3 linked regions of the Arabidopsis thaliana genome follow. The protein of the gene in region 3 interacts with the protein of the main gene of each other region in a pairwise test. Each region holds a gene or a part of one and is shown on either strand. Other genes may lie near its edges.

The links. Proteins that work in one complex are often made in the same cells at the same time.
Region 1: the proteins of WRKY45 (region 3) and HB30 interact in a two-hybrid assay, tested with the Arabidopsis thaliana proteins (one large-scale study listed by BioGRID).
Region 2: the proteins of WRKY45 (region 3) and AT4G37180 interact in a two-hybrid assay, tested with the Arabidopsis thaliana proteins (one large-scale study listed by BioGRID).

The regions. Positions count from the first base shown.
Region 1 is NC_003076.8:4,936,284-4,941,565, forward strand, and holds HB30 (homeobox protein 30), read right to left. Parts: upstream 2,925-5,282; 5' UTR 2,407-2,924; coding exon 1,591-2,406; 3' UTR 1,182-1,590; downstream 1-1,181. Other genes in the region: AT5G15200 (Ribosomal protein S4), read right to left, coding at 24-51; AT5G15220 (Ribosomal protein L27 family protein), read right to left, coding at 5,183-5,282. UniProt on the Arabidopsis thaliana protein: Putative transcription factor.
Region 2 is NC_003075.7:17,502,386-17,507,685, reverse strand, and holds AT4G37180 (Homeodomain-like superfamily protein), read right to left. Parts: upstream 3,123-5,300; 5' UTR 3,039-3,122; coding exon 2,813-3,038; intron 2,742-2,812; coding exon 2,560-2,741; intron 2,470-2,559; coding exon 2,154-2,469; intron 2,040-2,153; coding exon 1,963-2,039; coding exon of another isoform or gene 1,906-1,962; exon of another isoform or gene 1,870-1,905; coding exon 1,579-1,869; 3' UTR 1,182-1,578; downstream 1-1,181. Other genes in the region: AT4G37190 (plasma membrane, autoregulation-binding site, misato segment II, myosin-like, tubulin/FtsZ protein), read right to left, coding at 65-110, 198-299, 460-531.
Region 3 is NC_003074.8:325,173-329,973, forward strand, and holds WRKY45 (WRKY DNA-binding protein 45), read right to left. Parts: upstream 2,241-4,801; 5' UTR 1,988-2,240; coding exon 1,734-1,987; intron 1,632-1,733; coding exon 1,442-1,631; 3' UTR 780-1,441; downstream 1-779. Other genes in the region: AT3G01961 (uncharacterized protein), read left to right, coding at 9-179; AT3G01980 (NAD(P)-binding Rossmann-fold superfamily protein), read right to left, coding at 2,575-2,853, 2,927-3,446, 3,570-3,661. UniProt on the Arabidopsis thaliana protein: Transcription factor. Interacts specifically with the W box (5'-(T)TGAC[CT]-3'), a frequently occurring elicitor-responsive cis-acting element.

The DNA of each region.
Region 1 (5,282 bases), on a different chromosome or scaffold from region 3:
CGAAAAGGAGAGAAGAAGCTTACAGTTGCGGTAGTAGCAAACGTGCACCATATTTTCGTCTCCTTACTGCAAATTCGGCGATCTGAATAACTAGGGCACGCAGAGAGGAACGAAAGAGACGAATGAACTAATTTATAGGATTTCTTAAAACCCTAACGCTACACTCTCACTTTCTTTATTGGGCCTTTACGAATTAAGGCTTTATATTGGGCCTTTACGAATTATGGCTTTATATTGGGCCCGTTTTGAGATGTCGATTTATTTTTGAGTCTTGCGCTTGGGCTCGAATTTATTTTCTTAATCATAAAATTATTTTTATGCACTGAATAGTGGTACCTAGAAATGTCATTTGAACAAAAAAAAAAATGTCATTTTACATGTCTTTTGGCATTTAGATTATATCATTAAAAAAGTTGATGAAAAAAAAAAGATTATATCGTAAAAACAAATAATTGCAATATTTTGTTGAGATGTTTTACCAGTCTTGCCTTAATAGAACAGCAAGAATATATTATAAGTGAGTGGTGTCTCCAATCATATTAACCTAACGTAGTGCCTAATCTTACCAACTCTTAGTTGTATCTTTTACCATTTCAACAAATAAACAAACAGGTGTTAACTACTAGCATCGAAAATAAACACACAAAATAGTAACTGTGTTTTCATGTTTTTGAGTTATCTACATATACATTTTTGCAGCCACTATATGAAATAAATCTTCAAGTTGAGACTTATTTACAGTGGTTGTCACTGGCATTTAATAATTATTTTTGATAATTAGAAAGTAAATTTTCGAATTAAATATTTGACATTTAACTATCTTCTCAAAATCTCTCTACAATAACTACACGATTAGTTACTAAAATAAAACTTCTAAAATATTTAACATCATTTAAAAATTACAAAATTATCATTTTTGATATTGCTTTTTTTGCATGACTATAACAATTCCATTATACGCATCAACCCACATAGATATTTTATAGCAGTTAATTATTACAAAATTACAAAATATTTAGACAATGATTTATAAACATATCATAAATAAGATCAACATTAATAAAATAAATAGTTTTTTTTACTTAATAACAATTGTAAACTATAAAATAAAAATATTTTATAGATAGATACAATTTGTAAACTTTTATATATACTAACTTAAAAAAAAAAAAATTGTCCTTGCGGTATACCGCGGGTTAAAAATCTAGTAATGTCACATAATTGCAACAAATTCCCTCATTTCTTTCATAAATTTCTATATAAAGAAAAAAAGTAAAAATAAAAAAGCAAACTGATATAGAATTTAGAAAACAATTGGATTAATTGACTTTGTTATTCGGTTTTAGGAGGTTACTCATTTATCTTTCTTCTCACATTTGGTCGAAAGATACAACTCAAATCACCTCTCTAACAAAGATAAACTACTAACAAGAGTACAAACTACAAGACATAACAAAACAAAGTGGAATAGAAAAAAGATTTTGACCCGTTGACTAAAAATAAAAAATCTTCAAAACACAGAGAAGAAAAACCAAAAAAGAATTAGCCTCTAAAACGACGACGCTTTTTCAACGCTTTCCATTCTTTTCCTCACGTCGAAGAAAACGACCCATTTGTCGGAACAACACTCTGACGACTATCTCCTACTCCTCCTACTACTACTCCGCCGTTAGCTCTTCTAGCGCCGCTGCGTCCTGAAATCTTGTTGTTATGCATCCACACTTTGAAAACGCTTTTATCAACTCCAATCTCCCGACAAAACTCCTTAACCACCACGTCATCAGCTTTCGGCATCCTCCACCCAACTCTCTCCGAGAACTCGAACATCTTCTCCTTCTGATACTGACTAAACTTCGTCCTAAAACGTTTCCTAGACATTGGAACCGCCGTGTTAGCTCCTCCTCTTCCTCCAGAGAGTGCGAGAAGCATGTAAGAAGACGAGATCGGCGGTGGAGAAGCTGAATCATCGTCGTCTGGACTACGAATCCCCGCCAGATGAGGAGGAGGCGGTGGAGGAAGCTGGTGACGGTTGTGAGGTCGAAATTCGATCGCAGGGACGATGGCAGAGAGAGAAGATGGATCCTCCTCACGGCGGTGGAAGTTACGGTGGCAACCACAAGCAGCGCACGTTAGTGAAGCGGGGTCATTGGAGTTAAACGACGGTGACGGCATAAACTCGCCGCATCCGTCTAAAGCGTGACCGCCGATACCTGCTGCGTGATTCTTTAGACATTCTTTATAAGTCGCAACCGCAACCGCTTCAGATGCAAGATGATGGTGGTGGCAGCGTTTGCCGTTTGAGAAAGAAATAGGCTTCGCGGGCTGGATCCGGATCGGAGCTTCGATTTCGGGTTGTCGTGAATCCAAGTCGGATACTATAGTAGTTGTAGTAGCTATTACATCCATGACAACTCAAAACATTTAGGGTTTCGAAAAACAAGAAGAAGAAATGTTTTGTAAACTTGGGTTTTGGTTATTGTAATACAAATAAGATTTAAGAAACAAGAAGTATTATAATTTTCTAGAGATGGAGGAAGAAGAAGAATAGATGATAGAAGTAAAGATAAGGTAAAGATTGCACTAAACAAAACTGTTTTTAAATTGTAAACTCGAAATCTTTGGGATGGGTTTATGTATTTGGGAGAGATAAGATTAGAAAAGGGGAAATTTAAAACTATGTATTATTTACTCAAGTCTCTCATGGAGGAAGAAAGAGATGAGAAGTTGAAGACTGTTGATAATGAGAAATCCAAGTTGTGTGGTTGAGATTCATAATCATTATGTGTTTTTTTTTTTTTGGTTGAATATTTTTTTTTAACCATGGTTTGTTGACCCCATCTAGGGTTAATGAAAAAAGATAAGTGTAATAAATATAGGCTAATAAATAGAGTTCATAGAACAGCATCTAATGTGAGTCATGTCTTTTTCTTTTTGCTAAATTTGTATCTCCATGACGTTGACAACTTTAATAATATATACTCCAATTTTATATCAATATTAATCTTTTTTGCTACCTTTCAAATTTCAATTATTATTATTTCTCGTTATTTTTTTTTATTTTTTTTTCTCCTTATTTAAGCTGAAAATTTCGTGTGGAAGTAAAGCATGAATATAATTAAGGTTGATTCGGGTTGTTGATTCAATGATGTTAACTAAAGACAAAAGTTAATATTTCGTATTGTTGATCAAAAGCAATGTTTATCCAAAAATGTTAAAATCTCGACCTTCCCTAGTTTTATAGTTCATGGTTTGTCTTCAATCTTATGTCGAAAAAACTATCAACTTACAATCTTAAAAGTTACTCTACTACCAAATTTTTGCAAAAAAAACTATGACTAGCTTAATTTATTTACTTCTCAACTACTCCACTAATTAACTCAAAAATGTTTATTGACTATACATGTTGACGGTTAAAGTGGCCTTAAGAAAAGGAGACCACAACTAAAAAAGCTGACACGAGCAGTGGTGAAGAACGATGCCGTTTACTCCAAACTTCTTTAAAGCTGTATAAAAAAGTCTTTAATCAGAGAGGTGTAGACCAAACCTAAGATCGTTTGCAAATCCATTACTAATAATAAGTGATAAACTAACAATTCAAAGCAAAAACTCCATAAATAATTGATAGTATACCAATTTTTTTAGGAGATTTGCTAAAATATGACCGATAAATTTTATCAAAAAATTCAGACAAATTTTATGGAAGTTTTAATTTTGATGCTCTAAATCCAACGGTTGAATTCTCCGTCAAAATTTTGAATTTTAACGGGTTTCTAAAATGTCGTCTGTTTTCTTATAGTAGTAACGTAATTGTAAATCTCAACTCTTAAAACTTTTTCTTTCTTTTGACTAATGATGATATGAAATTGTCTAAATACCAAAAACAGCTAACACGCGTACATATCTTGCAACATGGCGCTACCTAATCAAACCATGTTCGTCTGTTATGGAAGACAATTCTCTTCTTCTCAAATACATTGAACTTTAACATTATACTTTAATTAATGTAGGTATATATTACGACTTGCACGACTTACCATAGCCAAAATAGGGAACCACCGTATCAACATTTCAAGCATTTAGATATAACTTGATTGTTGATTGGTCTTATTGTTACCGCACTACGATTATCTATAGATTTCATAGACAACAAAATAATATAACACATATATTATTGTTTTAGAAATAGTTATAAGGCTTTTTACTCTTTAGTTAGGAAGAATAAGGCAAACCGACATTAAATAAGCTTTATGCCCATAACAAGGATAATATTAATTAGTTTTTTTTTTTCAGGATATATTATCTGACGCAATTATTTGATGATCTATCTGTGATTTTTTCTTTCTTTCTAAAATCTATTATATGTTATGCCTGTATATGTTTTATATATACACATATCCTACTTTATGTATGTGTGCAAATGCAATTGGAAGGATTTATCATATACGATGAATGTATCGCATGGGTGGTTAGTATGCATTAATATGGACTGTTCTTAAGATTTGTGAATAAAGAAAAAAACAATGACATCTTCTTCTTCCTTTTTTTGTGTTATAAACGAAATGATTTTATTTTAATTGTATTGTTTTTGAATAGGAATGTGTAAAATTACAAGAAAATAATAATTCAAAAACTAAATATTGATGTGCATGGCAACTTGAGAAGTATTTGAGGAAACTTTAATGGCTAAAACAAGTTGGCTCTTGATTTCACATTATGCCAAAAACAAAGCTGGTTCGTCCATATATGATAATATGAGAGAAATTTATGTTTGAAATTTTAATTGAAATTTTAAACCCGATAGGATAAATATGTTTCTGATTCAATGAACGGATCTAGCCGCGTTGACGGGCCAGAGCCTGAGGCTTAGAATGTTGGCCCATTATTCGATGAGTTTATAACGGGCCGGGAAAACATTATCTCAGACTGTTACTTGTCTGTTTTGCGTAACACATATGAGAGAAACTCAGACTTGATTAACATCTATTTCCGAATAAAACTTGATTTGTTGAATCCAAACAAAGCCCTTCATCAAAATCCAGACAAAGACTAGAGGGAAACAAAACAGCAGATGTTATTGAATTGAGTGGTTCTGCTCTAAGATAGCATCATCTTTTACTCGAGAGATCACATGATCTAAAGGAAATGAAAACCACGTTTAGATTGTTGCAATCAGTATTCACGACTATGAAGCTGTCTTCAACTTAGTCGATTGAGCAGCTGCAGCTTTTGTGTAGATAGGGTGAAGAACATGACCACCTGTTGGATCAACATGAATCCATTTG
Region 2 (5,300 bases), on a different chromosome or scaffold from region 3:
ATAAACCACCATTATATATCAAATCCAGAATCTTCTAATCGAAAGATAAAGCTAAGATTATTACCTTTTAAGTTGACTGAAACCAAACGAGGAGTGTATGTAGCAACCCCCTGTATAAATTTCCGCCACACAAATGTTGAGATTTGCAAAAACAAGTGAGATTGATCAAAGTCAACGAAATATCAATCATCTCTCACCTGCTGGGTCTCACCGGAGCGGTAGAGAACATCCATGTCGAGATTATGGTTTCTAAAGATTGGATCGCTTTCAGGGTCACTAGCCAATCCGAGCAATTCATCCTACATTTCAAGTAAAAGTTCTCAACTTTAGCAAACCCAATCGATTTATAGCAAAAAAGACAAACACTTTTGTAATGAAAAACAGAGACAGACAAAACCCAGAATCCATTGTTAAAAGAATCGGAGCAGAGAGTTCAACAGGAGGTTTTGCTTCTCTAACCTGGAAATTCCAAAAGTGAGAGCCAACAAAGTTTGCGAATTCTCCAACTTGAATCGTCACAATTTCTCTCATGGTTGTTTGATTGGAGACTTGAAAGAAACTAAGCAAAAGGTCGGTTCTTAGCTCACAGCGTAAGAGACTAAGAGCTCCGGTGATTGCTTAAACCCTCGTCGAGCCTAGATTTGTAAAAGAGTTTGAGAATGTTGATGAAGACGGAGAGGCGGCCCCGTGAGGCCCAGAGACCACAAAACCACATAAATTGACTCGAAATAACCGGGTGAATAAACCGGTTGGGTTTAGAAACTGAATCGACCGAACCAATTTGAACAAATATTCCATTGCCGCTTAAATGTCTTTAGTATATACACTCATTAATTGTGAAAAGCAGAGAGTAACTATTTGAATTTTTGAATAAAAATAACAAATTTGAAGAAAATTATGTCAAAAGATAAATATCTACCCTATACTATTGGCTAATGTATGTTACATGGTGCAAGAAGCTTTATCCACAAAACATGCAAATCTCGTGGAAGTAAACTATTCATCAAATCACTAATCAGTGAGTAGATTTTTTCTATATACATTGTCAATTCCTTCAATAGTGAAAATAAATCTTGTCGTTTTTCAGACGAAAAATCTTATCTTTTCGTACGATTTTATGCAATAAAAGATTCTTATTTTTTTTCCCCTTACTTATTCTCTCAGATTACGTAGATTTGTAGAAAACGATGAGTTACAGAAAGAGACAAAGATTGTGATGTTTCTTCATCCTCTGTTTTCGAAGGTAAAAGGTAATTAGTATGACGAGCTGGTAAAACTAAACAAATGACTCCTTCATTCACATGGTTGAGACTGTAATAAGTATAAAAACAAAATCTTTGATATATGAGTTTATCTTACTTATGAAGTAAAAAAAAAAAAAAAAAAAAAACACAGAGGATTTCGAACACTCTTCTCTATCTATTTCCTCTTGCAAAAACAAACCCTACTTTTTGCTCAAAATCCTCTTCCTTATTTCAACTCTCATGTTTACATCTACAAAAACTCCCGAACAAACTCAAAGTTTTGAGCATATATAACATAAGTTGGTAAAGATTATATCATTCACTATGCAGACTTTCAAAGCTCAAGATCCAACACTTGTCTCTTCTTCTTTGTTTCATCATTTCTACAGCTACTACGTCCATCAGACTTCTCCTCCTCTTCATCCTCCTCCTCCTCATCTTCCTCTGAGCTATGACCAACATTACTACTGAACAACCCTCTTGCAACAAGTGGGCTTTGTGGCGAATCCGACCTCGACAAACTTATTAAGCTCTGCGATTCTCTCTCTAACACACCTGGCTGATCCGACGATGACAAAGTCTTTGTCGGATGCAGCGGATGCTTACGGATATGCATTCTATATTTCTGCAATAACAATTTCATTTCACCGCACTGTCAAAATCATTCATTCATCCACACATCAAAGTTTAAGTTACTGTAAAAGATGAGAACTTTTACTTGTAAATGGCTCTTGACTTCATCATTGGTTAAACCATCAACTTTCATCAAATCTCTAATCTGCTTTGGTGTAGCAACTGTCTCACAACAACAACAACAACAACAACAACAACAATACAAAACAATCTCAGTATAATCAATCAATCAAATCTAAAGCAAAGTTTGATCCTTTACTAAGGTTAAGGACTAACCTTGTGGCCCTCCAAGCCTATGAAGAGCATCAACAAATTTACGGTGAAGTTCCTGTGACCATCTCCTTCTCTGCTCTTTCTTCTGAATGTGATGACTCTGTGAAGAAGGTTTATTGAATTGATGATGATGATGACTCTGCTCAATTCTGCTATAATCCATCATCATCTCTGATGTTGGAGTCATGAGAGACAGAGGAGCTGGTGGTGGAGGAGGTGGGGGACGGTTAAATGGCATAAATACCCCTCCTTGATTAGGGTAATTACATGTCTGAAATGGGTTCTGACTCACACACCGATCTTCTTCTTCTTCATTTGTCTGTCAAAACATGATCATAAGGTCAACAAGATCAATCACACAACATATGATTCTTCACAAAACATAAAAAGGGTTGCTTTTTGATCGTACCGATCGGAATTGGGAATTAGGGTTCGAGATCCATAACTGGGCAGAGCTCATCCAGCTCTTCTTATCAGTTTCCGGTTTTGCCCTTTCAACATCATCGAATTTCCCATTAGATGCCATCAGTGATAACCCTTTTCTAGCCTCATCCTTCAACGCCCCAATCGCTACACAGAGAAAAACAATCTCTTTAAACAAAAACACGAATCGATTAGAGAAGATAAAAAAAAGAAAAGGAGAGAATTTTAATAAAAGATACCTTCGTTCAATAAGAGCATGCATAAAGGGAGTTCTCGTTTAAAAACATCGATTTTGTTCCTTTCTTCCTCTAATTTTCCGACATAACCATCGATTTCAGACAGTTTGGAATGATTGTCTTTGATCCTCGACACTTCATCGAGAAATTGAGATAAGGGTTTTGGTAAAGAGTAGATAGACAAATTCAGATTAAGACCCATCCTTTGATCGGTTTCTGTTTGAACCATCGGACAAGATAAAGACAAAGAGAAGCAAGCTTAAAGAGGTATATATAGAAGAAGATGATGAAGATGCTGAAGAAGATAAATGAGAACAAAAAAAAAATGAGATTAGGGAAGAAGAAGAAGGACGCGGTGAACCGTAGCCGCTGTAAATAAGTGGAGACTTGAGGGTGTTTTTGTCAATATTAAAATTAGATTTATCTTTAAATGGAAGAAAGAATCTTTTTGTGATGCCCGTACACACGCGGCGAATCGTTACACTCACTTATATATATTTATTCTTCTCTTTTTTTATATTTTTCTTTAAGGATTTTTTTCCTTTTAATTCGGCTATTAATTATATTACAATTTTCAGTTTTGGGAAACTTGTTATTTATTTTGTTTTTAGTGCTCTTCTCATTCAAGATTCTCATATTCCTGTTATCCTGTATTTAATATTTTCCCAAATTAGTCTTAAAAAGAGGATTCTGAAGAATCTATAATATTTTACAAACACTATTTTCTGCATATGGAGTGGTTCAGGCTGTGAAATATCCCACTAAAATATTTATTAAAGATAATATAAAAAGAATCTGTTGAAAGACTAAAAATAAAATAAAGCAACTCAATTATTGGATAAAAAATTAAAAATAAGGAATTAACAAAATCAAACTATAACTAAGAAAGATCAAATTTATTTGTACAAAATTAACAATTTTCTACTTTTTTAAAGAAAAATCAAATTTTATTTTCCTACTTTAACAATTAAAAGTAGATAAGTTACACTTTTTTGGAGTAAAAAATTACGTTTGAAATAAAGAAGATTTAGACTACAACAAATATTGACTTTTTATAACCTAAATGTTATGAGCTTGAAAGTTATACATTTATAGTCAACATGATATGAGATTAAATGTTGAATATAAAAAAGGTATGTACCACATAGTACATGTAGCACATCGTCAGAAATAACTTTGCTAGACCAACAATACCGAATGGGCATAACCGTGTATGGCCTATGGGCTATGGATTCATGTATTTGTTATTGTATCTCAAACACAGAGCTATACTGAAATCTCGGTTTCATGGAATTCGAACCACTCGTTTAAAAACCGATAAAACATTCAAACTATACAATCGGGTTTAATTAAACGATGTTCTTAGATAGGCAAAACCACATGTACGTTTATGCAAGTAGTACGATACATAAATTCGTACTTCAGTTTGTACTACTATCATATAACTAGACTAAATTAGTAGAGCCGTATAAATAATTAATCTTTACTAGTATAGGACATATTCGCTTTAGTTTATCTTTTCGAATAGAAAAATTATACTAAATTTTGCTAAATTTTACTAAAAAATTATACTAAACATTTTACCCGGAAAAAAATTATACTAAATTTTGCTAACACAAGCTACTAGCTGTATTAGAAATCGACACATACGTATGTGATTTTAAAAGAGTGAAGTGGTCAAAAGATCTCTTTGTCTTTTCTTTATTTTTACCACACGCAACGTCCATTTACATTCACGGTGAGCATTAGTTTCAAGAAATCACGTAACCTTTGTGTTTATAAGTGCCCTTTTCATGGTTTAGTTGGTTTTGGTTATCGTATTATGAATATTTTTGTTCATTTCAGTGTTGATATTCTTTTCAAGAAACTAGGTTGATCATTCTTATGTAGCACCATTATTTCTTGCAAATTATTCCACTACTCATCCATTTTTTTTACTAATCAAAACTTATATCGTTCAAAAGGTGAATTATACTTAATATTATTATATGAAATAAAACTCAAGAATTCTCTAGCAAAATGAGAAAAAAGGATCTTTCGCATAATCCAATGTAAAAGATCCCAGTACGCAAAGCTACTTTATTCCATGCTTTTTCCTGCTAGCCAAATACAAATTTCTTTCAATTTTAAAATAGCATTCAATTTTTTCAAAATAACATTTGATTCCTCTAACAAAAAGATATTCCGAAACACAGTAGCATGTAAAATGCCTAGGACCTATAAACAATAAAGACCACAAGGAATCTAACGGACGGACCAAAAGAAACGGCTCACTGTTAGCCAACTATACCAGGACACGTGTCCAACTAATCCAGATTCTTTATCATGAGAATCGTTTTTTTCTTTCAAGGAGGAACTGAAACGTCTCGACTTTGTTTGTAATAAAGACGTCGAGATTTTGATGCCGTTGATTGATTAGATTCTCGATCGTGGGTTCGCGACACGTGTCCCTAACTTTTTTTGTATTATTGTTCTTAACAAACGATGGCTT
Region 3 (4,801 bases):
AGATATATATGGGAGGGTTTCGTTATGTTGTGACGAATACATGCAGGGAGATAGAGATATCAAAGACGCGTGGTCCTTCGTCTTGCAATAATATCACTCAGAAGCATAACATGTTGATGACGAGATCTCAACTTTCAGGCTCAAACAGCCACGACGACACATCTCATTTTACAATTTAAAATATATGATATATGTGTAATTATACAGTACAGGGTTCAATCCTTACGCACTATATTTACGCTCCTTAATTATCTATCTTCCGCGGTAGACAGATGATACGGACGATTTATGAGAAATATCTCGGAGAAAATTTATAAGATATATCTTGTAGTTCAATTAATAGATATATTATTCTCTAAGTTCTATATGAAATAATGGATGGCGCAAAGCCGCAAACTCTACAATTTCTCATTGCAAAACATATTTTCCCAATTGCTATATAAAAAAAGAACATAACATTTTTCCATTCAATGGGTTCGGAAAAAAGTGAAAGTGTTGAGATTAAGGAACCGTTATTTTATCCGTGTTTAATAAATTTTGTGTAACTAACTTTTTCGTATAACTTTTGAAAAGAATCAAGAAAATGTGGATAAGTTTCGATTTATGTAAGAATGTGAATTAATTTATTCGTGAGAGATTAATATAAAGAAATTCACAAGCGAATAACATTATCTTCGTGCGGTATTGTGGCGGCGGTAAATTAAAACGCAACAATTTGAGTTTGATAATTATTACGAAAGACTTAATTAGCTAAATCTGTAAAATAACATTATCTTCGTGCCGATGTCATCAAAACACTCTAGAATAGAAAAGGAAGAAAGCATATCTTTTGAGAAGATTCTGACTGTTATGTGATCTATATATATTCTGTTGCATATTTGCTTTTGTGTTAAATGGTCCAATGGTATAATCCAATAATATCACCATATTCCGGATGACATGGTCCTTGGTTCTTTTTGTAAAGATTTGGGCTTGTTGGGCTGACTTGACATTATGAAAAACACGAGAGCCCAGGCTAATGGGCCTAACAAAGAAAGCGTCCTCCGTTCTAAAGCGAAACGTGAAGCATATTCGCAATTGGATCCAAGAAGAAACCTCAAAGTTAGCTTTCGTACTCTTTCTCATCTTCATCTCCACAATATCCTTAGCTTGTCACTAGTTTTGGAATAATCGGTAGGTTTGGGATACATAACATTGTTTTTGTAGATGATAGACTCATCATTGCTTCTTTATGTTTGGTAATTTGATGATGAATATACTTTCGATTACAGGGCAGCCGAGACTAAGACACCAAAGCAGATGGATTCAAAGGTCCCATAAAGACAAAGATAAGGATTAGTATTTTTGAGATATGTGAGTTGCTGCTAGTTTAAAAGTAAAGGTCTGATGGTGTGAGCCCAACGTTTTTGGGAAAGTAAATATTACAATCCAATTCCTCTAATCATTCCTTCAAGCAAAAGGGAGGGAAGATGTGCATTTGTGTCAAGATGTGGTGGAAATTATCAGAGGGTTTATCAACGGCATGTGTATGAACACCTTGGTATGTCGTCACCACCACTCCTTCGTCTCCCCATTGCCTCTGCACTTGCTTCTTCACTCTGCATCCTTCTTCTGTGCACTTATAATAGCTCCTATATATATATATATTCATATTTTACATGTATGTATATGAGTCTCTTATTTGATCACCATAGCAAGCATACAGTATCATTCATTGATGATTAAGTACGTACCTGGGGAATGGATTGTTCTTGACTGCTTTTTGGCCGTACTTCCTCCACCTGTATCCATCATCCAGTATATCAACCTGGCTTCTTGTCTGGAACGCGTACCTCGCTTCTCTCTCTTTCTTCTTCTTCTTACTCCTTGGCTTCTCTTCGGATGATGTTGTCGGCTGAGCAGAGTTGTCGACCCCATGAAACTCTGTCAAGCGAGGATCAACCGATGATGAACATGGAAACAACACATCACACCTCCTATCCTCCATTTCTTAACTCCCTCTGCGTTTATGGTGGGAACTTGAAAAAAGCCAAGGAGGGGAGGGAGAGAAAGAGAGACGTACACGGTAGCGAAGATGCCAGAGAAAGTGATATATATTGAAAATATGGCTACATTAGCGGATCCATCACAGAAAAAGAGTTTTGTGGAAACAAAAAGGTGTGGCGGCTACATCATTCTGATTTATATTATTATATATGCAACTCCTTCAAATTTTGGTTCAATGGATTCAAATTTCAAACATATTTCTTGGTCAAGAATCAATATGCATCTAGATCTCTGAGGTAATCATTCTTTTCTTATTTGATTTACAATTTGGATTAGCAAGGTTTCCAAGATAATATCCAATATCACGTGTATTTGAGGTTCACCTACCAAACTTGATTGAATTCAATAAACAATGAGCTCGAATGATGTTGAGATTGTTGACTATTTTGGCTCTTTGCTTTCTTCTATACTTGTCAAAAGTATATAATCATTGATTCCATGGATTATTCATCCCTCCATAGTTATTCAAACTTGATTCATATTCACTTTTTACACACAACATAGAATTATAATAATACTAGGCATTGATCACATGTAGGATTTGAGACGGGGTCGCGTAAGGGACTGCGCTCCATCCACCAAGACAGTGGTGCCTGTCATGAAGCGTGAGCCATCGCTGATCAAGTAGATAACAGTGGAGTAGAGGTCTGTGTCCGGGTTGAGCCACTGGCCGAGGGGTGCAGCGTCCTTGACCAGCTTCTGCGCTCGGTCTCTTCCCACAGAAGCTGTATACTCATCATCCAGATGCAGCCCTCTAGAGATCATGTTGACCCGTATCTTGTGCTTCCCGAGACTCATGGCTGATGCCTGAAACCCAATCATCAACAAACATATTCAAGTTACGAACGCGATGTGTCTAATTAGGAGCTAGGATGCATACCCGGACGAGCTGGTGAATAGCGGCAGAAGTTGAAGCGTAGGCATCAGCGCCAGGGTAAAGCGCCCTCTCTCCGCTGGCGATAGTGGCCATGAAGACAATGGAGCCTCCTGATCCATGGTCCTTCATCCTTGTGGCTACAGCCTTCAAGAGAAACCATGGAGCGGTGAGATTGATCTTTGTGATTCTGTGGAACTCATCTTGAGAGACTTGAAGAATGTCCTGCACCTTTCCTGCAAGAAAGAAAGATTGTTGAATAAAGGAATGATCAACACACAAGAGCATCAAAGGCAGGGTAGTGAAAAACAAGAAGCAAATTAAACCTTGGTAGGTATAAGAGTTGAGAAAAGCATCGAAATGGCCGGAAAGTTCCCATGCCTTTTGGACAGCGGCATGAAAAGCAACTTCAGAGTCAGATTCCATGTCGAGTGCTATAACATCGGCAGGGAAGGCTCCCTCAATGGAATCTCTAATCTTGTCTACAATGCTCCTTAGGGAACCCTCATTTCCCATCATTACCAACCTAGCAACAGTACATTGCATTTTTTGAAGGTTAACTATAGACACCAAAGTCAACCACAACACAAATCGGGGCTAGAAGAAGAAACACAGGATAGGAGGAAAGAAGACAAAATGAGAGACTCACTTGCAACCGTGTTTGGCTAGATGGAAAGCGATGTTTCGGGACACCTCGTCGCCGTTGGATGTCATCAACACTCTCTTCGCCGGATTTTCCATTTTGCCAAAGTAACTCTTTATAAAACAATTCAGCAGATTCAACAAGACTTAAGGGAGGGAGGGAGTGAGATTGATTCGATCGCCAATTCTAAATAACTATAAAGAGTGGCTGCAAAAGCTCTTACCGGAACTGTGTCTGTGTGTTACCAAAACGGCGAAACAAAGCAAATAATTAATGCCTAACCACATGATCCACCACGTTCTGTTGTTACCTTCTTTAATTTGTAGATAGAAGAAGATGGTGATTGATAACGGAGATGTATTTTTTTCTTTAATAAAAAGCCCACTTCAAGGCCCAGATCCATTTCTGTACTTTGTAGGTTTTCCAACTTTCCCGGCGCCGGAAGCAAGCGTAAGTTATCACTGTTCCCCAACCAAATTCCATCATATCCTATTATCCTACTACTAATGGATCCATCTCCAAGATTCCTAATTTCACTTTGCTACAAACTTATTTCGTGTTTTTGGTTTATAATTAATAGCCGTTGTTGGTTATGAATATGTAAGCATAAAAGGCATTTGGGAGCTCCAGACAGACAATGAATCATCAACATCAGGTACTCTGTCTTTCGTTTATGTTTCTGTTCCATTCTTTTGAAATATATAGAGGAGGAACTTGTTATTAGCTAGTCCATTGATCAACACACAAAGAGTGAGAATGAAAGCAATTCCTCCAACCAAAAGGATGCTTTCCCTTATTGATTTAGTTGGACCAATATATAAAGAGAACAAAGGAGGGTGTTGGTAGGTAACAAAAGATTCTAGGTGGTGGGAGGGTAGTGGATTTTTGAAAACCGTGTGTTGACTTAATGAAAGAGGTGTAGAGTAATGGGATTGTGAGAGTGTTAAATAATAAAAGACTAGGATACGAAATCATTGTGACATGTCAATTTTTCAAGTGGGTGGTGGAATCCGCAACAAAATATAAAATAAGAAAAATGCTTTGCTTGCTTGCTTGCTCTACTTTGCCTTCTTTTTGCAACCAACATGACGTTATGCTGGAAAGGAATCAAATTGTTACTTGGTCATGCACCTGTGAACGTTACGGAGAGGTCTACCTCAAGATAACGAATGATCTATTATACTAGTAAATACCACATCTTGCTTGAGAAGGAGAATATAATCCCCTTTATGATCATC